4 linked regions of the Tamandua tetradactyla genome follow. The protein of the gene in region 1 interacts with the protein of each later gene in a pairwise test. Links are inferred from orthologs where the notes say so. Each region holds a gene or a part of one and is shown on either strand. Other genes may lie near its edges. The genes, in order: CMTM5, GAD2, MTERF3 and SPG21.

Region 1 (8,362 bases):
GCAGGTGTGGCAGGTGTGGCAGGTGTGGCCGGTGGGCGATGCATCAGGAAGCCTTGTGCCTTCCTAGATATAAAACTCCAGGCGCCAAGCACCAGGCACGCCACAAAGTGGCCCTGAATCCAGAGATTTGTGGCAGGCAAGTTTTGTGTTGGATGATGCCTTCTGTGTCTTCAGTCCATCCCCCACCTCCTCCCTGTTCAGACCAGGGTCCAGAGAGGGACCATGACCCGCTGCAGGCAACACTTCCAAAAACACACATTCTTTGAGAGGCCTAATTTCTGGGAAACAGAAAGACTCGCCACCAGTACTTGAATCTTTTAATTTGGGAAGGACTTGGGAGCTCAGCTTCCTCCCCTCTGTCGTCCTTCCCACCCTCCACGGCACCCCCTCCTTGGGTGGAGCTCCATCAGGAGCCAGGTCCCAGAGCACCAGGCCCCACAGATGCGCCTGGAGACTTCTCTGGCCAGGCGTCATCTCCATGGGCCCGGCTGGGGAGGTGGTAGGCAGAGAGTCTCGCAAAACCGAAGATGTGTCTGGGTTCCTGTGTCCCCTTAAGACTGGCTGGAACTGGGGAGCCCTGGGGGTCACTGCTGGTCGCCTGCGAAGATGGAGCCAGGCAGGAGAAGGAAGCTCAGAATGGGGTAGCTGGGGCTGGGGCAGGGGCACAAGTGCAGACACTCACCCTGGGTGGCCCGGGGCCCCAGCTCAGTCTGGTAGATCTTGAAGGCATCGTAGGCAAAGACGGAGACCAGGATGATGCCAAAAACCTGTGGGGGTCGAAGCAGGGATTGCACAACCAAGGGCATCAGGCCATTGGATTTGGGAAGAGGGAGGCGGGTGACCTGGGGCAAGGCGTGAGCCACAATCCTGGGCACTGGCTTTGACTCGAGGGGCGGGAGGACCCAGAAAGGTGCATCTGCAGCCATCAGCCAGGGACCCTGGGGGCCCAGAGGGCCCTGCAGGACCAGACTCACAAAAGCAGCGATGGCAGCTCCGTCCCGGGAGGTCACAGCGGCAAAGGAGACCACCAGGAAGATGACGATGGCACTGATGCAGCGAAGAAAGTCCTGGGGGAGATAAAAAAAGTGGGGGGTGCAGGGCCAAAGGGAAGGTCAGAGGTCAGGGGCATCCAACCTGAGGTTTTTCCAGGCTAGTCAGCAGTGCTGCCAGTCCTTACAAGGGGATACCCTTGCACACACAAAACGAAGCTCTTTCCAAAGGGCGCTCCCCCTACTACCAGGGAACAGATGCAGATGAATCCAGAGCTACCCAGGGCAGGAGGCCAGGGGCCTGCAGGGGTAGGGGGGTGCAGCCGATCCCAAATGGCGACTGGAGCACCCCAGCCAGAACCTGTAGATGGCCAGGTTCTTGGGAGAGTGGGGCTGGACTTTGGTGAGTGGGAGAACAGACAAGGGTGTGCAATCCCCTCGTTGTCCGTGACCCATGGAGCCACGAAACCGGCATGGGTCAGTTCTCAGCTTTTGATGGCAGGGCACAGCAGGGGGCAGAGAAAAGCTGAGGCAGGCGGGGCTGGGCCCACCCTCACTGGGCCTAGGGAGAGGGGAGTCTGGGAGAGGAAAAGAAACCTCTGTGTTTAAAGGAGAAGGGAGAAACTAGGACGGGGTGGGGGGGGCAGGTGTCCTCACCAGACAGGGCCAGTTAAGCCGATCGAAGCGCTGGTAGTACTGGGTGGCGTACAGGAAGAGGAAGACGAGGGTGACGAAGAACTCGAGCAGGGCGGCGGCCATGTAGGCAGAGATGGAGGCCGTGAAGCAAATAAAGATGATGAAGGTCAGGGCCTGCAGGACCGAGCATGTGGTGCTTGCCAGGAAGGGGACACGAGCCCACAGGCCAGGGGCTCCCCCTGGCTGGCACCATTTGTCTTTGGAGAGGAAAGCAAGAGCTCTGGCAGGTTCCACCACCCCACCCTCTCCCCTTCCAGTGACAGGAGCTACCAGGCCGGGGCATTTGCCCATTAAACGCAGCCCCAGCGGTATGGCCGAGCTGCACTACTCCAGGGGGCACCATTCAAAGGGCAATGCAGACAGCGGTGGCCCCCTGGAGCACAGAGGACTGTCTGAACACTTGCCTCTGCAGTTGTGCCCGTGAAGCCCTGGGCCCCAGGAGGCATGCCCTGCCCCCTAACACTTTCCCCGCTCTCAGATGCCTAAAACTTCAACAAGGAGCAAAGTCCTCAATTCCACGCCAAGAGGCGAGGCTCAGAAGGCAGACGCACACGGTGACCCAGGGGCCTGCAGCTCTGGCAGCACAGGATGGCAAATGTGCACAGAAATTAAGTGTACACTTAGTGACCAGGGGAAGACCCTATCCCGAAATAGATTTTCACGGGGAGTAGACAACAGATAAAAGTGGAGCCACAGGAAGTCTGCCCTTTTTGATAGTTCTTAGACATGCCAAGAAGTGGCCATCTTAGAGGCCAAGGAAAGGCAGGCAGGCATTCCAACTCCCTGTCCCAGCCCTGGGACTTAGGTACCCCTGAGGTCCCCAAGAGTGTCCTTCTGTCTAACTTCAATTCTTCCTGCTGCAACTGTCTCTAGATGGAGAGCGGCCAGAAGGCAGGGTGGGAGATGGGGGTGGGGGAGATGGCATCCAGAAAGCCTGGGAAAGGAGGCTGCTGGGAAGGCCCCGCGGCCAGGGCTGGGCCAGGGAGCCAGGGATGGGAGAGAGGGAGGCACCCGATTCGGGGAGGCAGCAGTTACCAGCTCAGTTTCCAGCAGGATGCCTCTGAGGGAAGAGAGGAAGGTCTTGTCCACGGCGAAACCCTGGAGTCCCGCAGCTGCCCCCTCCTCGGGGGGCCGGTTCCGAGCGCTGAGCATCTCCGGGGGGGCCCACTGAGCACAGCCCCCCTCTGCCACAGCCCAGAAAGGGAAATGGAAACCTGGCAGGATGGGTTAGCAGCCAGGAGCAGGGAGGATGCGAGGAACCTGAAAGTGAAGCAAGGAGGCCAGTCTGCGGGGCCCCTGGAGAAGCCGGGGCAGGCTGGTTCCGATGGGCCCTCCCCCAGCTGCTTGGACTCAGAGTGCCCCCCACTGGTGCCTGCACCGGCCCCCTGTGAAGTGCACAGGGCGGGTGGGGGTGAGAGAGGAGGAGAGCTGGGGTGTGATTAGCCCCTCCCCTTACTCCCAGCTGACCCAGCCCGGAGAAGGGGAGCAGGGAGGAGGAAGGGGCAGCGGAGGAAGTAGGCAGGCAAACCAGGGGGTGCTGGGAGGTAAGCTGAGAAACAGAGTCAGGACTAGGAGCCCTTCAAGGACCTAAGCCTGAAGAAACTTGTGTCCCCCGCCTCTGCCTTTAACCCTCTTCCTTGGCCCCTCCTTTCTCCCTTCTCCTTGTAGGGAGGCTGGGAGCTGGAGCCTGGCCCAGGCTGCACCCCGCCTGGACCGAGCTGTAGCAGCCAGGACCAGAGGACAAAGGCGGATTGTTGGGGGGACAACGGGGTGCTGTGTGCCTGCTGCAGTGCCTCAATGGGCCTCTGTATCTCTGGCAGGCCGGAAAGGCAGCCTGATCCCCCACCCTGGTGTTCGGGAGTAGGTCAGGGAACCAGAGAGCGGCAGGGATAGGAGGGCACAGCGGAAACTGTGGCAGGCAGAGTGGCAGTAGGTGAGGGGTGGCGGCGGGGGTGGGGAGGAGGGGAGAGTCCAAGCTAGGCGACCCCTGGGTGTTCAGGTATCAGGGATGCCAAAGATAAATGAGGCCACTTTTAAATATGACTTCTTTATTTGGATACATCTCTCCATGCTCAACAACAGCCTCCTCCTCAGAATATTCCATGTCAAAAGATATGTAACTACACCCTGATGCACACAAAATGGATATTTGAGGAATGAATTCATGAATGAGTGAATGAACAAATGAACAATAAACGGGGGGCTCTCCACTGGCAGAGAAGAAAACGTCAAGAGAGTGCCCGTGCTGTGCAGAGGCAGCTGGGAATAAGAGGAGAGGAGGAAGCAGGCGTGGTGGCCTCATGAGCAGAGCTTTGAAGCCCTTTCCCCACACCAGCTTTCAGCAACCACTCCCTTCGCTTCACCCTGTATTTCCCGTCCATTCCAAAAAGTGCAAAAGTGCAGGTCCCCCCCCCCCCAAAGCCCCCCATCCTGTCCCAGGATCCTGCTGCTCCAGGTCGGTCATGCTTTGGAGAGGCCGAGCACTTGGGCGTCCTGGCCCACAACGACTGATGGGTTATGCGACCCACAGCTGGCCCAGCCCCAGTTTTCCCGGCGAGGGAGCAGCGGCGGGCTGGCCGGCTAGGCCATCACACGTGGCCGCACACACACGCAGGCCAGGGAGACGCGGTAGACTCTGCGCTCCAGGCAGTAGCCCACGGGGGCACCCTGGTGGCCAGGACACCGCCGCCGGTAGAAGACGGTCTGGTTGTGGTAGAGCAGCTCCGAGTTGCCCAGGGGGTCCATGTCAGAGCCTGTCTGTAGGCTGACGCAGTGTGGGCACAGGCAGCGGGCGTGGTACAGGTCCTGGGGCAGCCGGTTCAAGTCCCTGTCCAACCTGTGGGGGCAGCACGTGTCAGGCCCTGGAGGGGAGCTGGTCAGGCAGACAGGGAGGGAGGGGGACACAACAGCAGTGGGGCAAGGGGGGTGCCCCACGTGAGTGTAGGCGTACACGTGTTAGACGAAGGAAGTGCTGTGGTGGGCGGCCTGGCTTCTAGCCCCAGCTCTGACCCTAACCGGCTGTGTGACTTTGAGCCAGTGACTTGGAACCCTTCCTCTCTGGATTTTCTTTTCCCAACTGTGAATAAGGATAGGGGACTAGAGAACGGTTTTCTAACTGGTCCAAGGGCCATTAGGAAGGCTGGAGAAGGTGAGGAGTCTCTGCACAATCTGGCATATATACTGGGCTTTAGCATGAGATTCTCTTTTTGTTATTGTTATTACATTTTTATGTGCTTTTTAATTGTAAAAGTAAAAACTGCCCTTAAATCTAAGTATAAAGTAATGGCTAATGGTCCTGCCCCACCAGTCTCACTCCCCAGAGGGAGCCACTGTCAACCCTTCTTGCAACCTTACCAGACACTGCCCATGCATGTATCATAAGCACGTGTGCAAGTGTATGGTAAGACCTATTTACTTATTTTGACAAGTACTTATTTACTTACTTAGCAAAAAAAAAAAAAAAAAAGAGGTTTACGAACTACTGCAAAGTGTGCCAAAGGTCTGGGACTCCAGCAGTCCAACAGGAAATAGACCCTAAATATAAGGACCCTTCCCCATACAAACAAGCCCTGGAAAATTGGGGCTCAGCTAGCACAATATTTCCAAAAGTAGGTTCCCTAATAAGTATTCTGCAAGAAAATGGATCTGTGGCCAAACGAGTCTGGGAAGTACTGAATTAAATGGGTTCTTTTCTGCACACTTCTTGCAGCCTTTAATGTGCTGTGGGCTAGAGCAGCCTTTCCCAAGATTCCTTGACATTGTCGCTTTTTTTTCCAGAGGAGCAGCTTGTGGGACAAGCATGGCATAGAGCACACTTTGGGAAAGGCCAGCTGGGTGATTCTCAGGGGTTCACAGACTCCCGCTAGAGATGGCCACCTGGCGACAGCCTCCCCTAAGCGGCTGCCCCTCCACTGAATTTGGCTCAGGATCCAGCTAGCCTTCTGAGACTGCTCTAGAACATAATGACCTTGAACCTCCATGCTAAATCTAGTCCTGATTAAAGCTGACCCCCGTCCCCCTCTACCCACACCGAATAGATGGATGGAGATCCATCTCCAAAGCCAAAGCTAAGCCAGAACTAGAATTACGGGAAGTGGGAACATGGACATCTGATGAGGACACAAAACAGAAGAATAAATAGGTCTGTGATCCTGAAGGCCCTAATTTTTAATATTTTTCTTCACTGTCCCTATTTCAGAGCCTCCTAATATTTTCCATATCATGGCGCAAAGAGCAAAGGATAATAGTTTTGTAGCACACTGAATGAAAAAATAAGACCACTCATGATCAAAGATAACCAGCCTGAGATTCCAGCCATCCAGCTGCCCCCAAAGGTTAAAGGTTTCAATAGCTTAGTATACTTGTAACTCTCTTCCCTGCATGGCCCAGAGCTTTTTTATCGGGATACCGTGTACCTGTATCATACCATCATTCCCTGAAACTTTCACTAGAAAAACATGGCCACTGGAAGGATAAGAAAAGGAGAGAATCAGCTTTCCCTGGAATAAGTACAGACTTTTACATGCATTGTGGCATTTGATCTGCACATCAGCCTATGGGATGTTCCCCCATTCTACAGATGAATAAAAATTTGAATAATTGGCCCAAGATCACCCAGTAAGAGTCAGAGCTAGGATTCAAACCCCAGCCATGTGGGACTCCTGAAACATCATGGCCTGCCTGAGATTAAAAGGGGAAGAAAGTAGACTGGGCTTGGGTGGAACTCCCAGTTCCCCTCGCTCACACCCTGACCGGCACACACGTTAGGAGGGAGACACAACACACTCACTCATATCTCCAGGGGGAGATGGCCCTGCTGTGGAGGGGTCCATCCTCGCTGGCCCGGCAGGACTCTGGAGGATGGATGAGGGGGCGGGTGAGGCTGGCAGCCTCTGGGGGAGACGGCACAGTATTCCACCTGAGCCACTCCTCAGAGGGGTCCTGCCCTTTGCCGGAGCAGCAGCTGGGCCATTGGGTACCTTCCTTTTGGAGCCTCCAATTATGGGTGTAAGTTCCCATGACCATCACCAGGAATGCAACCACCTGTAGGTAAAGGCCAGAGAGAGAACCGCTCTCACCTAATCTGGGACCCCTTCCACCCAAGCCACTCCCCCAGCTGTTCCCTGAGATCCTGGTTCATAGCTCCATCTGGCCCCCAGCCCCAAACCAGGGAGCCTGGCCTGCTCAGCCCTCAGCAGCATCTCTGCTCCTTTCCTGCTCAGCACCATGCTCTCCCAACCCTCTGACCTCTCACCTGGTACATGCTGGATGCTGCTCGCTCAGCCACCAGGGAGTGCACTGATAGTCAAGGTCTTGTGGAAATGGGCTGGCTGGAGTATTTAACAGTCCTGGTTTTATTTTGAACAAACCTGTTTTGTTTATTCAAATTTATTTCCACTACCTTTTGGAGGGAGTGACCAGAGATTTAAAAACTTGAAACTGTTTTCCAAAGTTGCTTAAAATACTATACTAATGGAAGTTATGAGAGTCATTACAAAGTCTGGTAGCCTATTGGGTCAACTTTGTTCTTTGTACTTTTCCGGGCATGGGGTCAAAGCAATAGTGTTCCATGTCTTTGTGAAGTGGCATTGTGGGAATTTCCCTGATTGGCTTGGTATCCCAAAATAAGAAATGTCATCTTGCCTCTCTTCAAGTGGCCTCATTTCCATGACTTCTGCTGCTTCCACCCAGAGCCTTGTGTCCACCATTCCCTCCTCTCTTCTCAGGCCTCCTCCTGGTCACCCACTTAGTGAACACTTTCCTTCCCCCTTGTCTCCTGTGACCCCCCCATCTCTTTTGTTCCCTGACCCCTTCCCCATCTTCCATGACCCCAAGTCCTAGAAGCCCCATCATTTATGACCTTTACCCCATTGTCCATTAGCCACCCCCCAACTTCCCCTTGCCCTGTTTAGTGACCACCTCCATTCCTGAGCTTTGGCCCCTTCCCCTGGGATAGAGATACAGGTCTAACCCTAAAAGATTTCCAGGAAGTCTCTGACTCCATCAGTTTGTTTGCAGGATCTGTTGGAAGAAGTTGTGCGTGACTATCCTCATTGCACAAATGAGAAGGTGATGCAAGGAAGAGGAAGGACACCTAAGACGCATTAGGAGTCCCAGCTCCAAGGAACTGCCTGCCCCCACTCCCATTCACAGGGCCTTGGGGCAAGGACGAAGGCAAGGTTTGCTGCTGCTCTCCACCAGCCATGGTTGGCCAGGAAGGAGTATATGTGCTCTGGAATGGCTCGGAGCTGGACCTGACATCAAAGACATAACTCTCCTAGGGTCCACTCAGCCTGGGGGACACTATGCTGAGAGCAGAGCCTATTTCCTGGCAGGCCTACCCTCTCTATGGACCCCCTCCTCTCATCCCCCACACCCACAACATCCTCCCACCCAACATACTCATTCTCAAACACGGACATTATCTCTAGAACGATGTTTCCTGATTTGCATGTGCTTTCCCTTAGAAAATACTCTCCTCCAGTAACCAAGGACTCAGAAAATAAACAAAAGGAACAAACCAGGAATAACAACTGCAGAGTGAGGGGGAATCCTTTCCAATGCTTTATGGTGAAGCAGCCCCCAAGCAGAGGAGGGATGAGGTCAGGGGGCATTCTGGAGAATTGGGGGGGGAACTTCTTTGGTGAGTTTTGAGGGTCTGAAACTGCATGCCAGGA
Region 2 (7,326 bases), on another chromosome or scaffold:
CAGCCTTTGGAGTCCCGAAGGAGGACAACGGGCGGGGGGTGGGGGGAGGCCCTTGGGAAGCCTCCCCGCATTCCCGCCCTCTCTCCACTCTGGCTAGCCCGGCCAGCGCGCCATCGGGGCGTCCCTGTCCCCCGCGCCCTAACGTACCTCTTGGGTCTCTAGTTTGTTCTGATGGTCCCGACTGAGCTCTCGCCGACCCCTTTTCTGGTTTGGGGTGATTTCAAATATTTGCCCTTTCTTGGAAACGTCTCTCCCAGGCCTGCGGGACACACGCGGGCCGGCGATATCTAGGGGAACAAAGCGGGGCGGGGCGGGGGGCGGGGTGAGGGTTTTCTCTTCCCTTGGTTTTTAAATTTACTAAATAAAGTGCCTTGGAAAGTCTGTGGCCTGCGGGCGGCCTGCGGTGCTCCCCTTTGGGCCGGACGCCTGCTGTCTGGAGGTGTAGAGGCTGCATGCGGGGGGTGGGGGTGGTGGAGGTTCCCTCCCTCTCCATCAGCGAACCCCTTCCTCCATCGACCCAAAAAAACATGCAACCTAAGTTCAAACCCGAGGTTTGCGACACAAACGCAGCCCCCGGAAAAATCTTTAAGTTCCCCGGGGTTTCTCACCCCCGCAGCCCCAGCGTAGCTCCTGCCTTCCTAGACTTCCCTCCACTGAACTGAGTCTGCTCTTTGTTCGTCTAGTCTGCAGGATGGAGCAATCTCTGCTCCTCCAAATTCAGGTGTATTTAAAGTGGGGAGGGGGCGCTTTCATCAGTTGCCTACACCTTATTTTTTGAATCGAGTTAAGTTCTTCTGTGACCTGAAACCCTTCGCGTGTACGCGGCCTGGGAGGGCAGGGGCAGGTGGCGCGGTGTTCTGCTGAGGTGTGAACTGGGCCGTGGGTTCTGGTTGGAACGCGGCTTGTGGCTTCTGGCGGTGCCTTCGTCTCCCACCCATGGCCCGGGTCCGAGAGCGCTAGGGACGGGTTCGAGGCTCGAGTGGGGCGCATACAGCCGCGTGGTGGGTTTGTCGCGCAGTTTTCTCCCGCCTCAAGAGTTGGCACTAAAGGGTCCCCGGAGGTGACTCGTCCGACCTCTTCATTTTACAAACGAGGACCCGGGATTCGGCGGAACCCGAGTCCGCGCGCGCTGCAGGCCCCGCGCTTTCCCCTGCCCCAGGCTGGGAGGGGAGTTAGGGAGGGGAAAGGCGGCGCGCACCAAGGGCAGGGGCGGGCCCAGGCACACAGACCCGGAGGGCCCGGCCCCCTCCGCCCTTGCCCACCTATCCACCATCACCAGGCGGCCCTCCGGAGAAAACAAGTCGAGCCCCTCTTCTCTCCCAGAAATATTCTTCCATCCAGGCTTCCCGGGTGGCAACTGCGGACCAGAGCCCTGGCGACAAGGCTTGTGTTGCTGGACAACAACTAAAAAGCCCCAAAATCTCGGCTTTTTCAAATGCGGCTGGAGACAAGAATGGTAAATGCTTGGTGAAATGGAGAAATGCTTTTGTTTTCCTTTTGTACTTGTTTCTTTCCTTCCTCAACCCTTCGTTCTCTGTCTTTCGACACTGAAGTCCTGGAAGGACATAGGGAAAAGCTCATACTACCCCCTCCCCGCCCCCCGCTCCTTTGGCGGGGCTGTGGCGCGATCTCGCGTAAACCACCGCCAAGCGTTATTCACCCGAGGAAACCGCTCAAGGTGACGCCCCCGCAGCCTGGGTCTCTCCGCTCCATCGAGGAAGAGCCTTCGAAAGCTTTTCCCCGACGCGGGCCCGCCTCCCCTCCCCACTCAGTGGCAGCCTCCTTTGTGAACTAATGACTGTAATTATTACTTCCCGGAGCTGTTTTGTTATCTCCAACTCGGAGCCAGAGGGGTAAGGGGTGGCTCTTTTTGCGAAATCAAAGTCTTTATAAAGCAAATTGCCCTCTTGGGAGGCACGGCGTTTAGGAGGGACAAATCAGGTCCCCGTCTAGCTCTGAAGTAGGGTGTTTAAATAAAAACTGGAAATACCACCATTAGACTCAAAGTTCTGCAAAGCTGCGGGATTTAGTGGCATTTGAAGTCACTGCGCTAAAAATAAAAATTAAATTCAGGTGTTGGGATTTTCTCTTGTTTTAATCAGTTTCTACCTGGGGGGATTTGCGTGTTTTTTAACGCTTGTTTTTAAGAATGTCTGTCTTCACGAACGCTCATCCATAAGCAGGAAAGTTCTGCAACCACAGCTTGCAGGCTTGAAGCGAAACAAGACTTGGTGTGGATTTAAACAAAGAACAGCCCTCTCTGATTCGTGTCTGAGATGCTGGAGCGAGAGCTGCGGAGCTGCCCTGCGCGGGGTGTAGACGGCCCAGCCACGAAATCTTTACAACCCTGGAATTATCACCTGTTTTACACTGGAGCGCTGGGGGCGGGGAAGAGAGGCCGATCTGAGTCCAGGTTTGGGCCCTCTGCACGCCCGGAGCCTGCTCGGAGAGGCCCCTGGACGCTGCGCCATGGACTAGACCAAGCCCGCGCGTTCCGTCCAATGCCTTCCGACGGCCGCCGTGCGGATCCTCGGGCTCTCCTGGGAAGAAGACAACGCCTTATAGAGAGAGTTGACCAGGCCCCCGCGTGCCACCCAAGGGTCTGTGATGCCTCTAGGAAGCAAGGGTCGAGGGCTGGTGGCAAAGACCTGCGGGTCTCTGCTTCCACCGCAGCTTCGGTGCCCGTTCGGCATTTCTGAGAAAGCGCGGCCTGGGACCACCGTGGAGATGGCAGGCGCTGCCCTGAGCGCCGGGTAGGCGGACGCCGCGGGAGGCTGGGAGCCCCCCTTTCGCGTTCGGGTCCTTCTCGCCTTCTCCCCACGAGCCCAGGACAGACAAGGTGTGCTTGACGACGGTCTCACAGGCAGAGAGTCAGCAAGGCGAACTCACGGGGCCCCAAAATTCTCAAGTCCTCCTCCCTTTGTTAAAATGACTTTAGAGAAAGGAAACCGTAAGTGTCGAGAGAGGCTCCGACTCTCTCCCCCTTTCCACCTGGCGGTCAGAAATAGAAGAATCACTGTCCCCTCTCCGTCCCCCTTTACCGTGAAGGTTCTCCTTTGGGAGGGGGACAATTATTGGTCAGAGGCCCCCTAAAGCGCGAGCCCTGCAGGCCATGCCTTCCTTCTGCCTCGGAGAGGGAAAGCCCAGATTGCTTAGCTGGAAACCCTGTGCACGCCTCCCACGCTCAGACCGATTCGCTGTCACACGTCAGCAGCGGACCCCTCCATGCTTCGGCGGGCCAAGGTCACCAGATGACTTCATCCCATCCCCCATGGGCCATCAGTCCTACGAGCTCGACCGCTCTCCCCTCCCCCTTCCAAGAAGTTTCCATTTGTTTTATTCTTTTCCCCAGCCTGAGGTCCTCGGTGATAGACTCCAGCGTGGATTTTAATTGCCTCAATCAGCAGTGCTTCTTCCCAGCTGTCAGTCAGAACCCGGACTGTAGGTCCCGCGACCGCGCGCTCCGCTGCGCAGGAATGGTGCGCCCGGGGGGACCGCGCGGCTCAGTAGGCAGGCACTAGGCTCTACTAAGGAGCTGAAATGAGCCCATCAGCGCCCTAGACTCCCTTTCCCCACCGTGCCCTCCCCAAGCTGGGGAACGGCTCTTGGTTCTGGCCCAGAGAACCAGTCTCTGGAGGTCGCAGAGACCTCGGCACCCGCCTGGAGAAAGGCGGCGCGGGACCCGTGTGCGCTTCTCCACAACGGGAGACAAACCTCAAACAATAAGCAGATCGATGCCTGCGTGGAACTCGGCCCCCTTCCCGCCGCACCGAGGCCTCTAGTCTGGCGTTTCGGGAGCCTTAGCCGCGCGCAGCCGGCCGCGTTAGCACCATGGACAGCGCCAGGACCTCCGGGGCGGGCGGTGCAACCACGCGCGACTCTTCTCCGGCGCGGCCTGCGCGCCTCCCGCCCCCTCGCTTTGACTCCTGCTCACGCACCCTGTCTGCCTTGCACCCTCCCGTTTTTTTCTCTCTGCCGCCCTCTCGCCAGTCCCTACTGGGCTCTCCCGGGCTCAAAATCTCTCCGACACTCCGCGCTTTCCCATCTCCAGAATTCAGGGACTCTTTGCCCCCCTTCCCTTTTGATCCCCTCGCCTCCAGGGCTGCCAGAGCGATGCCACGTCTCTAAGCCCTAACCCCGCCACACACGAGCGCGCACACGCAGACACCACGTTTCCTGTCCCAGTGTGACACCCATCCTGCGCCGCGCGGTGCCCTCCTCCCGCCACACGCGCACGCACGCGCAGGGCCGAGCCCGGGCAGCTCGCCGGCACTTCACACTCAGAGGCGACCTGCTCCAGTATCGCCGCGCAGATGGCATCTCCCGGCTCCGGGTTTTGGTCCTTCGGGTCTGAAGATGGCTCGGGGGATCCTGAGAACCCCGGTACAGGTAGGAACCTGGATTCTGCTGCGTGTGCTTTGTGGGGCACTAAGGTTTGCGGAACTGGGGTTAAAACGAAGGAGGGTTTTCCACCTGCAGCAGGAAACTTCTTCCGACGCTTCACTGCTCTCGAGGTTGGTCCTTGACGGTCCAAGAAACCGAGGCCGGGCAGCCTCCTTTCCCTTGGGCCCTTGTGGCTGAAGTGAAAGCCCCCCAAAGACGGCGGCATCTCCCAGACCCCGAAATCCAAGGGCGAAGGGTGCTGCCACATTCTTGGTATCGGGACGCTGGGGAGGGACGGGGTGCGCATAGGGTAAAGAAAAACAAGGAAGGGGAGAGAACGCTTGCTCTGGAAGGAGAATCTGCGAGGAAAGCGCAGCCTTGGTGTCTAGAAAACGCCCGAGCAAGGCGGCGAGGGGAATTTGTCTGAACCGATTGGCAACTGGAAGGCAAGTGCAAAGGGCCCCGGGGTGAGTTTCTCCTTGTCCCCGAGCAAGTCCCGGAGCCGAGGGGGTCTTGGCGGCCAGGCTCCCGAGCACATCCCGCGCCTGCCCGCGGCGCCCAGCCTCGGACGGACGCAGGGGAGGGAGGTGGCCCCTACCGGGACCCGGACCTACTGATGTCGTTCAAATAGGACAAAATGTCACGCATCCGTCTGCTCTTCTCTTTCTGCCTCGCTGTTGCTTGTCTTTCTCCTCCAGCCAGAGCCTGGTGCCAGGTGGCGCAAAAGTTCACGGGCGGCATCGGAAACAAGCTGTGTGGTGAGTGCCAGCTCCCGGGGTAAGGCGGGCGGGGCACCCCGGGGCGCGCGGTCCAAGCGCCTTCTCACCTCGGGTAGCACCACCGGCGAGTTGGGCTCTGTTGGCAAGAACCAGGCGGGGCTGAGAGGCCGGGCCTGGCGAGCGGCTGACAGCGACCGGCGCTCTGTGTCCTTGCCTAGCCCTGCTCTATGGCGACGCGGAGAAGCCTGCAGATAGCGGCGGCATAGAGTCCCCGCGAACCGGCGCGCCGAAGGCCGCCTGCGCCTGCGACCAGAAGCCCTGCAGCTGCCCCAAAGCCAAGGTCAACTACGCATTTCTGCATGCAACAGGTAAGTGCGCCCTGCCAGCCCCGCGCGCCCAGCCCCCTGCCCCGCCCCCACCACTGCGCCCGGCCATCCCCTCGGGGACACCCGAGCCCCGGCGCCGAGGTGGCAGGAGGAGGTGGGCCTGCCGGGGCAGGCTGATCCCCAGCGGCTTCCCGGTCTGAAGCCGGCCTTGCACGCGCCGATGCCGGTCTGCCTAGGCGTCTTCCGGGCATCGCGCTGCGATCTGAGCGCGGTCCTGGCAGGCAGCTGGCGCCCGGGCTCGCCGTCGGCTGACCACGGCCGCCCGGGCTCCAGTAGAACGCGGATTTCAGACCTCCCGCCGACCAATGCAGGAATGCTGAGACTTTTATGTCTTCAGCTTTTGAGGGTCATTTGTAGCCGCGGTTTCGCGAAAGAACCATTCTGGTCCTGTGAGACCCGTGCACGAAGGTTTGCCTCAGAGCGTTAACACACTCAGTCACCCAGACACGCACGCGTGCACACACGCACGCGTGCACACACGCACACTGATTTTGGAAACAGCAGGCCGGAGATCCTAATGTTACATGTTCCATTTTGCCTGGTTAGCCCGAAGGCATTCCTCAAACATTTCTGATATGCCTTGTTTCCATAAACAGTTATGATGGCTTACTGAGAATAACGTTTAAGACGAACCCTTATGGCATAGATGAATAGATGCACACGCTCTTTCTAAAAAACAAAAAATCATTGGAAATGCAAGAATTAGTTGGAGGGAGTCGTCATTTTTCTCATTTATCTCCTTTGAAAAATATCTCCCCTTTAGAGAAAATGGCCCGCAGTTCCAAAAGCTGTTATTCACACATAAAATCTCACCGTTCCGAGAGAAATTGCCTGATCAAAATCTTGTTGGAATATTTTCATAGTAAAATTTAAATGTGGTATTTTAATCCCATTCCTTAGACCTGCTGCCTGCTTGTGATGGAGAAAGGCCCACATTGGCATTTCTGCAAGATGTTGTGGATATTTTGCTTCAGTACGTGGTGAAAAGTTTCGATAGATCAACCAAAGTGATTGATTTCCATTACCCAAATGAGCTTCTTCAAGAGTATAACTGGGAATTAGCAGACCAACCACAAAATTTGGAGGAAATTTTGATGAATTGCCGAACAACTCTAAAATATGCCATTAAAACAGGTACTGTTCAATCAAAAATGATAAAAGTCTTTTTTCTTTTACAGTTTTTATGTTTTCTATAAAATTTTCTATTTTATGGAATTACTGATATTTTCAAAATTGCATGTTTTCCATCATTTTAAAAATAGTTATTATCAGAATGATTAAATGCAAAAAGCACCTTCTAACCTTGCTGTTGATGCTGCTGAAATTGGTAAGATGAGGGGCTAAGTACATGTATCTAAGTATGTGTACATGCATCTGAGTATATGCATATGGCCATGGAGATTAACTTCCAGTGTGGAAGCAGCCCATTGTCAACAGAGGCCAGTAAAAGCGATCCAAAATGAAGAAAGGGGGAATATGGAAATTAAAGCTCAAAAAGCATGATTCAAACAAAAGCCCGAATCCCATTGTGCCTGCTGATGGTCTCCTTGGCACAAAAACGGTCAGAAACTGGACTGAGCATTCTCGCACCATCATGAAGTCAGACAGTTGTATTTTGGCATTGTCTCAAATGGCTAAGACCTCAAATTAGAATTGTATGTTTCCTACTGGTTTTAAAGAAATGTAAAAAAGAAAATATAAGATTCACAAAGGCTAGCTTAGCACCCCAGCCACGTTACAGACGTGTGTCCTTCGCAGACATTGTGGAGGTAAGACAGAGCAAAAAAGGGCAAGAATGGCTTTCCTTAGGGGCATGTTTTTAAAAATGTATTTTGTGG
Region 3 (8,357 bases), on another chromosome or scaffold:
GATGGTGAACTCTAGAAGGGCAGAGACTTGGGATGGATGGAACATGGGCTGTAGAATCGCATAAAACAGTTTGCTGGAGCTGAGGCTGAGGAAGTGGTCCAGGCTGGTTTCTGAATTAGCTGAGACTGACAAACTCCTAACTTCTCTTCAGAACTCTGGGATTAGAGGGATTATATCACAAGATAAACTGATGTTATAACTGGTAACAGAACTGTTATCTAAAAGGCTAAGCATAATTATTTAAAAACAAACAAACAGGAATTAGGGCTGTTTACTGAAGAGGAGTCTGAGAGGTAGTGGCTCCCAGATATGTAATCTCTCAGGTGAGACACCACTTAACCCAAAAAACAAATATTTGAACCATCCAAATGCCTGTTTGCTACAAAAGACCCCGGAGAAATACATGGCGCATTTTTTCCTTCAATAAGTTTAAAATCTTTTAGGGACCTAAAACACCAGAAATAAAAATGAAGGTAAAAGGATGCTCATTTAAATAGTTTATATATATGATTGAAATATAGTAACTGGGGAAGAGAAATGTTCAAGGTCAATGTTAACTGGACCCAAGAGTGACCCAAGCACAGTGGCCTTTGGTCACCTCCAGGGTCTGCTTAATCCCATACAGTCATTATAGGGGATCACTAAATATGGCTGGGGTCAGAGAACAAGGACATCCAGGGTTTCCTATTACTGAGAGAGAAAGAACATAATGTACATGAAGGAAACGGGATCTAAACAACTGAATCTGCAGTATCAAGAGATGTATTCTAATGGGAATTTATATGGTCTAATGGGAAAGGAACAAGGGAAGCTGGCAGTTTTCCACAAGGGAAGTGGCACAGAAGGCCAGAAATGTGGCCCAAGGGATATGATGAACTAGAGCTCCAAAGTCACTAAGGGAAATTAAAGTAAAAACAATTATTCACCAACAAATACATCAAAAGTCTGTTCCTTCTTCTGCTCCTGGCTGTCTCCTTAATCCTGTATCAAGGAGAAACCTAACACAGACAAGGTGATAAGCACTTAGGGACAGTCAATATGTAGGATGGCAACTCCCCCCCGCCACCAACCCGACCCCTTTAAAGTAAGTCATGATTTTTGTTGGGCGAGTGCTAACAGAGGCTGCTTTCATTGTTTCATTGGCAGGTGATTCTTGAGGAGAAGGTGGGCTGCTGCAAAGTGGATTTAGTACATTTTGGTGTCTTCTGATCTAACATTGAATTTTTGAAACTAAGGTTGTTCAACATTTCCGAGTTAATCAGCCTCTGAAATCAGAGTAAATATGAGGGTACCTTGGTAATTAAACATTGAGCTTCAGACAAAGGTTTTCCTTGCCGTACCTTGGCTGAATAAATGTATAAGACATATGCCAAAGCATCTAATTTTAATATACTTATTCTAAAATATGGCAAAGCAAGCTTTTTATAATTTTAGGAGGAATCTACTAGGTAACATCTGACTTTATTTTTAAGGAGGCGGACAGGAGATTTAAATACTATGGTTTAACAGTGAGTTGGTTTACCTGCTTTTTAACGAAAGAACTACTTGGTAAATCTAAATTTGTCTCAGACTTCTGTGTGAGGTGTATAATCCTCAATCCTAAATTCTCACTTGGTCACTACAGGATGTGATATTACCCAGGTACTGATTCCCACATACTGGAAATCTGATGCCCCAAATGTATTCTATCTCCTGTTCTCTGAGACTACTAGTCTTTGAGAAACAAACTTTAAGTCCTATTTTTAAGGTTTTACTGAAAGAACTGCACTAACAGCCATCCAACTAAAATCCTGTTAGAAAATAAGGATAAGGGACTAGAGAAAATCCCTACAAAGAACACAAAATGAATAATTTTCATTTAAGAGGTCATTATTTTAAATCTTTACGGAGGAAGACAGAGATCTTTGTAATCTGCTTTAAAGGGTCAGAAATTGTTACCAAAAAAATGAGTAAGATGTAGTAAGTACAAATTATATTAATTGGGCTATTGATTTTATATAACATGAAATGTGTTATTAATTAGCTCTTCATTATGTGATTTCTGTCTCTGCACAAAATTAGTGGAAAAAATAAAAGCACCCCTTTTAGAAATGGCTATAGTCTGAAGTTCAGATTATGTTTTTTCTATTACTTTTGACCATCTCTTAAAATTAAAATTTATTTCTTATACTTTCACTTATACTTTCTTTTACTTTCACAATTTATTAACTGCTTTGGCAGAGTATGTTGTAAAAGGGGAAATTCTAGAAGAATGTGACTTACTATAATAGAAAAGAGGAAGAGAGATCTATTCTGAAAGAGGCTAAACTATATTGAAGATAAAAGGTTGAAACAACCTGCTCATTTTTGCTTCTCATTATTTAAAATAAAATGCCATGATTGTTTTCTAATTTCCAAAGAAATTCTCTTACTTATTTCATCACTGCCAAGTCATACAGGAGATGAAGTTAATATGAAACAGACATCTATGTCAATCAGTCAAAGCAACGTCCATTTTTCCAAAGCTTTTATCCTTTGCTTCAATTACAGAGCATATTGCATCTTCTAATATAATTTAGAAGGCATTAGCATACAATGAAATCATGTAATAACAGCTAATGTTTATTGAGCACTTACTATTTGCCATGCACTGAGCTAAACACATAGATTATCTAAAAAGATTAATCCTCACGACAGGTAATCTTATGAGGTATTATTTTATTAATATTTTCATTTTACATACAGATAAGGAAACTGAGGTTAGCAAAACTAAGTGGCCACACGGGTATTAAGTGATGAAATCAGATGATATGATGAAGTATTCGAGGGTAATCATAATTAGGGGCACAACTGATCTATCTTCAAAGCTAAAAATACATTCTTGGTCAGATTCCTTAGAAAAGTCTAGTCTTATTTCACTATATAGCAATAGCAGAAGACTATGATAATAGCAGCAGGATCCCTCAATCATTAAGGGCAAGTAATCATCATACATGCTCTATATCTTTAGGCAGTTTAATTCAAAAAGACAAATACTTCCTTAATAAGAACCAAAAGTCCAATGGATTATGGAGGTCAGGAACAAATGTGGTGTAGGAAGATGGCTTTATGAAAATCTGAATAATTGCAGTGGTTCTCAAGGGAGGCACCACTGCCATTCGTGTTTGTGTATGTCTGTGTGCATAGGGGACAAATCATTCTTTGTTGTACAATGCTGTCCCATGTATTGTGACACGTTTAGCATCCTTAAGCCCCACCCACTAAATACCAGAAGTGTTGCCCCAATCCTTGGGACCACCAAGGGAAAAAAAAAACCTACACATTTTCCAGCCTCCCTGTTGAAAACCACTGTTGGATAAAAAAACTGGGAGCCAAGCAATATCAGTTTGAGTGACTATCATGTACCAGGCACTCTGCTAAGTGCATTTATATATATATCCATTTAATCTCTGTAACTCTATATGGAGTAAGTATTTACTTCATCTTCATTTTACAGGTGTGGACCCTGAGGCCGAGGGAAAGGTTAAGTAATTTATGAAGGACACAGCCAATTTTGAAACCAAAACTACACTCATCTGGATTGGTCTTTTAAACTGTAACGATGTGGGTAGGCATGACTTTCCTTTCCTTAAGGAGGTTCATTCAAAAAATACAAATCCTTGTATAGGAACCATAGTGTGTCTGCCCGTTACACACCAGGTTTGTATTTGTTCCCTGGGTTGAGAACGAAAGGCCACATGTATAGGGATATATTTTAGGGCTACATGATATGTGAACAGACTTATACCAGAAGTGCTTTGAGTATGTGTGTATATGTTTGCAGGAGGATAGAGGGTTGTTATGTTGTATTTATCTGATAGATATAGCATTTACTATGCCACAGGCATTACAAAGTCTCCTTTCAGCATGTATGCTAAGTGGTGAACTGGCTGAGTGTGTACCACGTGATGTCTCTGCTGGTGGGCTGTGTGGCATGATGGTATTCAAGAGGTGAGGGGCATCAGCTGTGCTGGATGGGGAACCATCTGCTGCGTCCTGTGTCTAGAGCAGCAGTTTGTGTCCTGGTATAGATGGGCGGTGTTTGAGGATGGGGGAAGAGTTATGGTAGGTGACTTTGTGATGAAGAGGGGAAGCGCTGCATGGAAGAGGATTGTGGGTGGCCTCAAGTGTGCATTTTGTGTGTCTGGCACGTTGTGCTGAATACTGGAGGACTTCTGGGCGTGTGTGTGGTATGGGGTGCTGCATTCTGGAGGCGCTGTGGGTTTTGTGTAGTGTTGTGTCCTCAAAGTGGTGCATAGGAGATGATTCATGCGGTGTGCTGGGTAAGGACGGATAATGGAGGGGCTGCAGAAGGAAGGGGCCAGAGTCGTGACATGCGTGGGGCGCGATGCTGAAGGCGGTGGGAGATAGCGGCTCGGGATGACCCGCGTGTTAGGGATGTGGCGCTGTATGGGAGGCGCTGTATGGGAGAGGGTAGTTTTGAGAGGTGGGGAGTGGTTGGGGGGGAGCAAAGGGGAGGTAAAGGCGTCTAGTCCAGGGGGGTTGTAGGGGAGGCGGCTGGGGTGTGCCGTGAGACAACGCACGGGTGGAGGAGCTGCGTGGGCGGCGGGTCTGCTCTGGCTATGACTGTGTGTGCGTGGAGCAGACAGTCTGCTTCTTCAGCCCAGAGTCACATCGGGCCACCCTCTCCGCCACTGCCTCCCTCTCGCCTCTTCCCTTTGCCCTCTGGCGCTCGCCTCGCGCGGCCGGGCCCGCCTCACCTGGTGAAGGCGAAGTACATGAGGCTGACGATGGTGAAGCTGAGTAGGGTGATGGTGTGCGGCCGGTAGAAGAAGTCGATGGTGATGTCCTCCACTTGCTGCTCGTTGATCATCCGGAAATGCATCTTGTAGTTCACATCATCTTTGCTCAAGGTCCGGCTCCCCACGCAGGACGCCATGGCCCGCCTCCCCGTCCTGAGGCAGTGGCGGCGGCCCCAGCCCGCGGAGGCTGGGACCCAGGTGGTGGTGAACCGCGACAGGCCAGCGGTCGGGCGGCCGGGCCGGCTCTGGCGCCCAGCAAAGGCTGGGAACCCAGGGGAGGATCGGCGCGGGAGGGCGGGGTCGCGGCGCAGACGACGCGGTCTTGGGCGGGGGGCGCCGCCGGCTGTCCCTAAACTGGCGCTCTGTGAGGGCTATCTCCAAACACTCACGGGGGTCTTCGGACTCACACAAAATGAGGTTTGATAGAAGAGCAAGCAGAGAAGGGAATTTGACTCTCAGTGGGCTCTTTCCTCTATCGGACCGCCGCCCGCTCTCTCCCCCCGCGCAGCCTCACAAATGGTTTCGCCCAGACGGGCCGCAGCCCACGTGGTGTCCGGACGCCGGCGGCGCGGGGCCTGCCGGCGGATGAGCTGATGTGAGGTTCCTGGGCACAGGACCCGGGCCGGGCGTTCCGGGCGGCCACCACGGTTTAGGCGACAAGGCCCAGGCCTCGCCACAAGGTAAAGTTAGGAACCGCCAGAGCGGGAGAGGCTGGGGTCCGGCCCGTTTCTGGTTCCCGAAGCACCGGCGACAAGGCCGCACCCCGCTACCCTGCCTCATCCACGCAGTGAACATCACTGCCTTTGGATCTTTGCGGCCCAGTTGAGGGCGCTTGGTTTTGTTTTTTGTTTCCTTTTTTTTCCCTGGCTGATCTGACGGAAACTTGTTAATTACCGCATTTTGCGGAGGACGCTGAAGGAAGCCCAAAGTGCAAATGGGCTTCCTACGGAAGTTGAGTATGGGGAACTGAAACTGACTTGTTAAAATGACCTAGGGAGGGCGTAAAGTTTTATTTGGGAGGCCCTTTTATTACGAAGCTTACCCTTCCCCACCTTAGTAGCCTCATTCCACATATTAGCCCTACAAAGCTAGAAATTTTGAACCCTTGAAACAGCAGTGTTTCAGTGCCAACTACTATTCCCGCCGAAATACTTTGCAGTGTTGAGAACTATCTGGTATTTTAAAGGACTTGAATTTTTCTTAATCGTCCTGCCATTGTTAGAAGAACTATTTTCGTCACTTTTTTGGTATGCAAATGGATTCCCCTCTTTGCATGCTGGGTGGGCAAGTAATAGTTACTGTTGATACATTGCCATTCAACAGACATCTGGACTAGTGGAGAATAGCTGCTGCGAGGTGGATTCTGAGATGAGCCGCTGCTCTGTTCTCATGAGTGAACAATTATTCAGTTGTTAAGTTGGACAGAGTGAAATGATGATGTGGAAAAGAAAGTGCAGTTGTAAATTAAAATAGAAGGATAAACATTAATTATATGCACAAATGCCTTTTAATTTATATGAAGATTCATCCTGCCTGATGTGGGAGGGGTACTAACTTGAGTCTGGAAAGGCTGAAGAGGGAATTTGGGATATCAGAAGTTTGTTTTCAAGTAGATGAAATACTTAGGCATCTTAAGAGTTGGAAACTTTTAGAGCTGACAGGAATCATAATCATCTTGTACACTAAATGTTTCTTATGTAAGGGATGGTTGCTGACCTCCCAGCATGGGCCGTGCATTATGCTGGACTGCCACAAGAAACTTGTTCTTGTCAAAGTAACATGACTGAGATCTTCTGTCTTTCAGTTGGTGCCCTTATGACTTTGTTGTGCAGAGAATGGGTGTTGTAGGTTTGAGAAAAAACTTGACAAGTCACTTCTATCCAAAAAAAAATTTTTTTTAAGCCTGCTGGCAAGGATTTTGTGAATACTTATTTCAGAATGGCAGTGAGACTTTCACTTTTATAAATCTCTTTCATCAAACCTCCATAAATTACGAATCTCCAGGAGGATAGGCCCTCAGATAATTGGTCTAATTCGGAGCATAAACAAAGCTGAATTCCATTATGGAGATAAACCAAAAAGTCGTTTGCAAAAATTAAGTTGACAGAATTTATTTGTATTTGATTGTGTAAGCAACAATACCCTGACGTTAAGCATTTTCCATATGCTGGATCCTGTGCTAAGTGTTTTTTTTTAATTTTTTATTAATTAAAAAAAATTACAAGAAACACAAACATTCCCAACACATACACTCAGCAATTCACAATATCATCACATAGTTGCGTATTCATCATGATCATTTCCCAGAACATTAGCCTCAATTCAGAAAAAGAAATAAAAAGACAACAGAAAAATATAACAAACAAACAATAAATTTTACATGCCATACCCCTACTGATCCCTTTCATTGATCACTAGCATTTCAAGCTAAATCTATTTTAACATTTGTTCCCCCTATTATTTATTTTTATTCCATATGTTCCTCTCATCTGTTGACAAGGTAGATAAAAGGAGCATCAGACACAAGGTTTTCACAATCACAAAGTCACATTGTGAAAGTTATACAGTATACAATCATCATCAAGGAACATGGCTACTGGAACACAGCTCTACATTTTCAGGCAGTTCCCTCCAGCCTCTCCATTACATCTTGGATAACAAGGTGATATCTACTTAATGCATAAGAATAACCTCCAGGATAACCTCTCGGCTCTGTTTGGAATCTCTCAGCCATTGACACTTTGTCTCATTTCACTCTTCCTCCTTTTGTGGAGAAGGTTTTCTCAATCCCTTGATGCTGGGTCTCAGCTCATTCTAGAGTTTTTCTCAATCCCTGGATGCTGAATCTCAGCTCATTCTGGGATTTCTGTCCCACGCTGCCAGGAAGATCCACACCCCTGGTAGTCATGTCCTACGTAGACAGGGTGAAGGTGGTGAGTGTGCTTGCTGTGTTGGCTGGAGAGAGAGGCCACATCTGAGCAACAAAAGTGGTTCTCTTGGGGGTGACTTGTAGGCTTAATTTTAAGTAGGCTTGACCTATCCCCTGTGGGGTTAAGTTTCATATGAACAAACCCCAAGACTGGGGGCTCAGCCTATAGCTTTTGTTGTCCACACTGCTTGTGAGAATATCAAGAATTCAACTTGGTGCTAAGTGTTTTATATGTATTGTTTTATTTGATGTGAAATTGTGGGCATTGAATTTATTTTCCTAGCTTAGTTGGGCTAAATATAAAATTCGTTCATATACCCTGAATTTGAAGTAGTGAGAGCCTTTCCTGATGAAAGCTTTTTAAAAGCAACTACTTTTTCTTTTAAAATATGCATACCTTCATTGCTGATTGCTTATTTCTATCACTTTGTTCTACTTGCTTGTTTTAATCTTTTCTTTTTGAAGGCTTTCTCTTTTTTCTGCAGTAAAGCAGATGACAAAACTAAGGAACGGCTCTTTTTGTGACATAATCACAATGTTCAGCTCTGAGTATGAAGCAAAAAACAGCTTTTACTGTTCTATATGGCAATGATAATATTTTGATGAGTCACTTATGACAGTGGATTGCTTTCTTTTTTTATTTTGTG
Region 4 (7,254 bases), about 50 Mb from region 1:
TTGGATAAGTCACTGGCCCTGTTGGGGCTTGTTTTCTCATCTATGACTTGTTCATCACTGAAGGCCCAAAGCCTAGAACAGTACTTGGCACACAGCAGCATTACGTATTGACTAAATGAATGATTATGTCCTAAGGAGACTAAACTAGGCAATTCTAGAGTCCCTTCTAACCCTGGCTTTGGACTGGCTAAGCAACTTTAGCTTAAAGGATGCCCTTCTTTGGTCAGGCATCTGCGTTAGATCATAACAGGAACCTGAAATCATAGTTCCCTGTTGCAGATTCTTCCTGCCAAATGAGGAACCTCCACCCTAGGCATCAACTGGAAGGACTGGAAGCAATCACTACTGGCTTTGCACGCTGCCCCCTGCCCCTGGGGCAAGCCTGGCTTCCCCTGCAGGGCTAAGAGGAATTCCAGACTCTAGAACTTAACTCATGGGCTGACCCAGAACTGTCATTTTAGAGGGTGTTCTCAGGACTGGCAAGGAGCACAGGACTCTAAACTCAATGGAACGCATCTTTCTTGGCCTTCCAGATCTATACTCTAAAGAACACAGGGCCCTTGGGGTCTCTACTGTTACCTCTAACCTTGGAGGATTACTAAACAACCCCCTGGAAGATGGTGAATCTAGACATTCCTAAACTACACTTGACCTACAACCTATACACTGTAATAATAATGCTCTTGTCTCTAAAGGCTAACAGGGTACTTTCAGAAAAACTCATTAAAATTGTAAGTTGCTCTGAAGTACTTTGCTAAAAATCAGGGAGCAAATTCGATTCCCGGTGCCTGCCCATACCAAGAAATAAAAAAATAAAAAAATAAGGGAGCATAAATGCAGTTATTAGTCATAATGAAATAAAATCCCTCTTTGCATAGCCATTTAAAAATCTTGCTCAATATTATTAACATGTTAAAACATTTAAACCATCTGAACAAACTCTAGCCTCTCTCTAAGCTGGCTATTGTTTTTTAATTGAAAAGAACTAACACATAAATAGATAGTCCTGGAATATTTTTAACCCTGACACAGATGTGAAATGCTCCCATATCACACAAATACTTTATAATGAAGACATTTCCTAGTACAGCATTACTAGAAACAATTACTCTATTCTACAGGAGGGAACATAAAAAACATGCTTAGCCAATAAGATTTACTAAACAGTTAAAAAAGCAAATCTTAGCTAATTAAAGGCAGAAAGTTTGCTTCTAAATCCTCCAAACTGAGATAAAATAAGTTAATCATAGTTTGGGACTCATTTGCTATGTACAATCAAACTACAATACAAAGACACACACACACGATGCACAGTCTCACGAACTCAGACACGCGCTTCTTCCCCACAGCAAAAGTAGGAAGATGCTCCTTACCAATAGTCCTCAGGGTTATTCCCAGCCAAGTCAATGTTCTAATATTTTATAACTAATCTTGCAGGATGGAGAGATTCCACCCAACTGTGACTGAATTTTTGTAGAGACAAGTGATTCTAGCACTTGTCCTAGTCTGGCAGTACATGAAAGGTTAAACAGATACCAAATGTTGCAGCTGACCAACTGATGTCTAAAGGCGAAAAAAGCTCACTGCTGCAAAGAAAAGCAGCTGGGAGCAGTATGAAAAGGAAAGTTGTTCTCCCAGATCTCTTTCATCCACTCCAAAGGCGTATACTTTTCCAAGTCACAAGAGGAACATTCTGTAGATGGCAAAGAAGGTTAAGTGAGATTGTCATTGAACTGGTCAGTATTAACCAAGAAAGAATGAGGATCGCTGGGTTCAACTCTGAGTTGACCTCTCAAGATTCAACTCTTCAGAAAAACAAAAGCACCTGTTCGTGCTGGTGGGGAAAAGGCCACCTAGATTAGCCTCAATTTTGTGATAGGAAACCCCTTCTCCGGTTGTGCAATGGAAATGCACTCCTCTCCAGTCCTTGGGCTGTTCCACAACAAAACTGCCAGGTTGTGACTGTGCGCCAGACAGTACACGCACCTATCCCTCAGAATCTCAACAGAACCTTCCAGTTTGCAGGCAATCAAATTGCCCTCACAAGTGTTTAAGAAGTCTCAGAACCAGCTTATCTAGTGAGAGGCTTCCAACCTTTATTGCACTCTTTAGTTGATTTACATATGGATAATCTGTATTATTAACACCAGCAATAACAAAATAATAGAACCCAAGAGTTTCTAGGCAATGCATTAGCTTTTTAGTGTAAGCCTCCATGCTTAGCCACATCAGTACACCGCTATCCTTGTTTTAAGATCTCTTCCAGTAAGATTAGTCTCTCTTTTCTTCAGGAACCTATTTCATTATCTTCTATACCTCGTGGGGGGGAAAGCTACCTACTTGGCATCTCCTCTGTGACACCTCATCTTGTGCTCTATCTTGGTGTAAAAGCTTTGAGAATTTAGACACAGCTATTAAGTTACTCCTAAGTCTCTTGAATTTTTGTACCAATAAGAGCTGGACCATTGTAGGTGGAGACAAAGCAGCAGCATAAATACAGAACTTGTGAAAACAACTCCCCAGAAAAACAAAAAGAAGAAAAGTGACATTTTAGCCCTGCTATTCTTCTCATCCCCCATTCATAAGCGTCACACCTGGGTGGTACTCAGCAATGACAAAGACATTTGTACTTTCAGGCTGAGATAGAATCTCCAAAATAACTGGCGTCTGCTCAGAGTTCTTAAAAGTTTACTAAAAAAAAAAAAAAAAACTGTTCCTGGGCTGCAGATGTGTAGCTCCAGGATGGGTTTGCAGGAAGATGCCCTGTGCAAACCCCTCCAGGCGACCCATAACACCAGCCAACCTCACCCGGTTCCACCGGTGACAGCCACACAAAGGCAGGGTCACAGGCCCACCTACGACCCTTCTGAGCCCTGGCTTGGCCTCAGAGAAAGGCAGACACACACACATATACACATACACACATACATACACACCCACACAAACACACACACGGAAGTGCTATCACGTGCACGATCACATGGACCGGCCCACTCGGGGCTACATTCACAATCATACCGACCAAGGCAAGCGCGCACACTTACATACACCCACAATCTCACACTCAATAGAGACCCATACCACCACCTCCCAGGGCCTTGCCCACCCCTCACCTGCCGTGTCCGCCCCCACGACCCTTTTCCTCCCCAAAGCGGCTCTTCGCTACAATACCCGAGTGAGCTGGAGGAGCGGCTGGCCCGGAGTCCGGGCCCGCAGCCGGGACACCCAGGACTAGAAGCGGCGGCGGGCGGCGGGGGCGTGCAGGAGGGCAGGCCTCCGAGGGGCGGGGCGCGCAGCCCTCCCGACTGTCCCCGTAGCGGGCGCGCGCCTGGCGCTTCCGGGTTCAGCGGCGGGGGAGGGATACGTCACGGGGAAGGGGCGGGGGCTCGGGGGTCTCCATGGCGACGGGGCCCCCGATAGGCGGGGCTTGAGCTCAGTCTGAACTCCCGGAGTTCTCGGTTCCGCGGGTGCGTGCGGGAACCTGCCGTAGGATTAGCGGTGGTGGTCGGCGCGGAGAGGAAATCTGATTGCCTTTGAGTCTAGCTTTTGAGACGTGAGCACCAAGGAGGAAGTTGTGAGAGAGGGAGAAGGGGGTGTCCGGCCTCCTGGAACCTGCTTCTGCATTTCGTTCGCGCACACCTGGAGGAAGAAGATGCCTACTGTTCCCTCTCCTCTGTGTGAAGATTTGAGGGGATCCCCGGGGCTCCAGGTTTTGGTGACCAGGGCTTTGTATACTCTCTTCTTGCCTAGTTCTTTTTTTTTTTTTTTCTTTCCTTGTTACAATCACAGACACCCTCCATAACCTTCTACTGTAACGCTCCCTTCCCTTCCAGCCCTAATCTGGCAGCCCGGGGAATTTCCGGGAATTTAGTTCCACAGAGCCTCCCTCACCTTCTTCACTGCGGTTTTAAGAGCAGAGAATATGAATTCATTTATGATCACTTTTTAAACAAGAGGTTGCAGAGGCCGAAACAGCCCTTTTCAGTAAAATATTTGCAGATTTGCACTGAAATAATATGAAGATTAAGTAGCATGTAAATCTACCCGTTTGAAGTTATTTAGAGATAGTGCAACAAGATCCTGTTAAAAGTGCTTCTCCCTAATCTGTTTTAGGGAGAGCGTGTCTCCTATTTAAATGGACCTTCGAACTTTGACCTGATCCAGACAAGTGTTCATGGGATTTAGGTCAGGGGAGAGTCCTAAATTCCATGCTGAGTCATGATCTCTGCCCTCCCGCTCAGGAAGCTTTAGTTCCAGTCTAGAACTTGGACAAACCCCAGGAATTTCCCAAGAGCAGGATAATCTCTCCTGGTTTTCTACAAATCATCTCTTTCGGAATTGCAAGCCAGTCACAGGAAGTAATCCTTTATTATAAACACCATATAGGTGTATGGGGCATGTTTCCAAGAAGGATTTTTAACCTTGGAGGTTTTTTCTCAAAATGTGGGAGTATTTTAGTGAATGGAAAAACTGGCAAGTCACTGGATATATGGAAAACCCATTGCAGGCACTCATTACATTAGTTATTGGTGTATCTCCCCAGCTGGGCTGGGAGCTTAACACATGGTCTGGCCCATAAAAGTTACTAAATGTATACTGAATGAATGAATGAGTGAAAAAATAAATCTATCCACATGTAGTCCTAAAACTGTATTCCTTAGATCCCCCATCCCCAGACCTTACTTTAATAATTGCCCTAATGAGAACTCAGCTATGAATATGCCCATACATATGCCTCTGTCTCTTTATATAATATACAAACACATCCTTATTCTGTTAGGTGGGTAATAACTAACAAATAATGGGGTTTTTTTTAATGTTTCCTATAGAAAATGACCCTATGCTCATGTTTGGGTCCTCAGTTGTTCTAGAACACATGGCAAGCAGATTGTCCATTTGCTAATATGAACAAGGAACATTTAATATCTGTGAATTCCAGCTGTCCTATTAACGCACAACTGCGGACAGCAAACTTTTGACCCACGGCACACAGTGAAGCAGACCTTGTGGACCAGGCTGTGAGGGTTTGCAGCTGTTGTGTTTGGGGTCTGCCAGATGGTTCCCTCAGCACCAATCCCTGTGCTAGACTCACACTGAACAACTGGAATGTTCATGAAATATGCTGTGAACACCAGGCAAAATAAATAGATGGCCAGCTGGCTCAGAACTGCCCAAGCCTCTTAACTGATCCCTTGAAAACAGTTTTAAATCTCACCTACAAAACAATACTAGATATACTCTGTGCACACATACACATAAGTAAATGCATTTTTTAAAAGGTTGGGAAGAATACACATTTAATAGAATAGTGGTTACCTCTGAGGAGGATTTTGGTATGGAAGGAGTGGTAAAGGAGCACTTTGGCTTTATATTTAGTATTTGAATCTATGTAAGAATGATTCATATATTGTGTGATTAAAAAAATTAAAAGTACCTATATTTTTGTGTGACTCCCCTGCTTTCAATCCTTCAATTGCTCCCCACTGCCTTCAGCTAAACTTCAAGCTCCACTGGGCTATCGATGGGATCATGTGATCTCATCACAACAACTCTTTGAACATCCCCAAACACTTCATTTGGTCTCAAACCTCTATAGACTTTTGTGTGTATATTCTTCCCCCTCTAAGAATGCCTCCCTTTACTCAACCCAATAGAATGAATAATCCTATTTTACCTCCAGGAACTACAGATGCGTGAAAAAGTGAAAGAGAAACAAAACACTGATTTTTCAGACTAACCCAGTTCTTAAAATATCTTGTAAAATCTTCTCAGGGTACAATTAACTATATGTTATATACCAGTTATGCCGGGACCCATGAAATGAAATACTGCTTCTTCATGGCCAGACCAAGTCTGGGTCAAATGCATATCGCACCGTATTATAGGGATCATACACAGATATATCTGGAACCACCCAAGAAAGATGCTGACATGGTTATTCTATAGCTTGCTAACTGAAGAGCCTATCAAACAGAAGTTATATATAGTTATCATAATTACTGATTTAGTTCTGATGCAAGAGTTAACAAACCTGAGTTCTCTTCTTTCCTCTTTCTACATCTGGTTTCCTTATCTGTAAAATGAGGCCAAGGTTGACCCATATGATTTCCAAGTTCTTTCTAATTATAAAATTTTAGAGTCTATAAATCTAGGAGACTTATTGAATATTTACAATGGCTGGCCCTCAAAGCTTCCCTTCTCTGATAATCTCCCCTCTCCTGCTTCCAATAAAACTTTAAAGAATTAACCTGCACACAAAAATGACTATTTAATGGAAACAGTATTTGAACTTCTTGGCGATGTTAATGTTTGTTCATTATCGACCTTTCTCTCTTTTTTTTTTTTTTAAAGCTTTATGGATTACTTTTTCCCAAGAATTGGTCAAAGACACTATCCTTTGTAACAACTTTTTTTTTTCATGGGCAGGTACTGGGAATTGAACCCGGGTCTCTGGCATGGCAAGGGAGAACTCTGCCACTGAGCCACCACTGCCCGCCCCATTATTAACCTTTTAAAATGAAATTTCCTAAGCAACTTCTAAAAATAAAAAGTTCCTAAGCAAAGGTACAGCTTTTGTAGCATCTGCCAACTCAGTATCTCATTAAGGATCCTTTCCTAAATGCTAATGCTTTAGTTTGCCTTTTGGAGGAAGCACAGCAAAAAAGAATCCTGGAAAACAAGAGTGCACTGTTTTACCACAAAAAGCAGCAGTCTTTCGGCAGGTTTCTACAACGTATTATTAATTCTTCAGGTAAAAAAAGACAGTGATTAAATAGTGACTAAAATAAGAAAAATCTCTTTGAAACCACCTAGCACAGAACCTGTATAATGGGTACTCAATTAACTAACGTGTTCTCATTTCTCAGTTTCTGAATATCAAACCCTAAGACATTAAACTCCCTGATCAAGGATGAAAATATTTCCAAATACAGATAGGGGAGTAGAATGGTCAGACTACCAGGGGGTCAGTTCTAGCTCCATCACTTACTAGGTATTTATTTAACCTTTTTTGTACCTAAGTTATCTCATCTGAAAAAATGAGGAAATTCTACTATCGCAGGGTAACTGTAAAAATAAAATAACGACTGTTCATGTCATGTCTTAGACATGTGGCCAGTACTCAATAAAAGTATTAGCTAATAGTATTATTAAGAATCTGCTGTGTTCCAGGCACTGTGCTAGACACATTACATATATTATTTCTGTTCCTCATGACAATCCTTGCATAATAGGTATGACTTTCATTTTGTGGAT

The links.
Region 2: the proteins of CMTM5 (region 1) and GAD2 interact in binary tests that used the Homo sapiens proteins (3 or more experiments, as listed by UniProt). The two-hybrid records come from large-scale screens. The link is inferred for Tamandua tetradactyla from reciprocal best matches to the Homo sapiens genes CMTM5 and GAD2.
Region 3: the proteins of CMTM5 (region 1) and MTERF3 interact in binary tests that used the Homo sapiens proteins (3 or more experiments, as listed by UniProt). The two-hybrid records come from large-scale screens. The link is inferred for Tamandua tetradactyla from reciprocal best matches to the Homo sapiens genes CMTM5 and MTERF3.
Region 4: the proteins of CMTM5 (region 1) and SPG21 interact in binary tests that used the Homo sapiens proteins (3 or more experiments, as listed by UniProt). The two-hybrid records come from large-scale screens. The link is inferred for Tamandua tetradactyla from reciprocal best matches to the Homo sapiens genes CMTM5 and SPG21.

What each region holds. Positions count from the first base shown.
Region 1 is NC_135340.1:31,514,962-31,523,323, forward strand, and holds CMTM5 (CKLF-like MARVEL transmembrane domain-containing protein 5), read right to left. Parts: upstream 3,244-8,362; 5' UTR 3,214-3,243; intron 2,946-3,213; 5' UTR 2,838-2,945; coding exon 2,721-2,837; intron 1,800-2,720; coding exon 1,647-1,799; intron 1,068-1,646; coding exon 975-1,067; intron 768-974; coding exon 683-767; intron 599-682; coding exon 585-598; 3' UTR 303-584; downstream 1-302.
Region 2 is NC_135327.1:224,518,233-224,525,558, reverse strand, and holds the start of GAD2 (glutamate decarboxylase 2), read left to right. Parts: upstream 1-4,313; coding exon 4,314-4,389; intron 4,390-5,081; coding exon 5,082-5,141; intron 5,142-5,320; coding exon 5,321-5,470; intron 5,471-6,388; coding exon 6,389-6,622; intron 6,623-7,326. UniProt on the Homo sapiens protein: Catalyzes the production of GABA.
Region 3 is NC_135332.1:140,115,614-140,123,970, reverse strand, and holds the start of MTERF3 (transcription termination factor 3, mitochondrial), read left to right. Parts: upstream 1-5,327; 5' UTR 5,328-5,461; intron 5,462-8,357. Other genes in the region: PTDSS1 (phosphatidylserine synthase 1), read right to left, coding at 4,740-4,918.
Region 4 is NC_135340.1:81,792,388-81,799,641, forward strand, and holds the start of SPG21 (maspardin), read right to left. Parts: upstream 3,324-7,254; 5' UTR 3,114-3,323; intron 2,677-3,113; exon of another isoform or gene 2,595-2,676; intron 1-2,594. UniProt on the Homo sapiens protein: May play a role as a negative regulatory factor in CD4-dependent T-cell activation.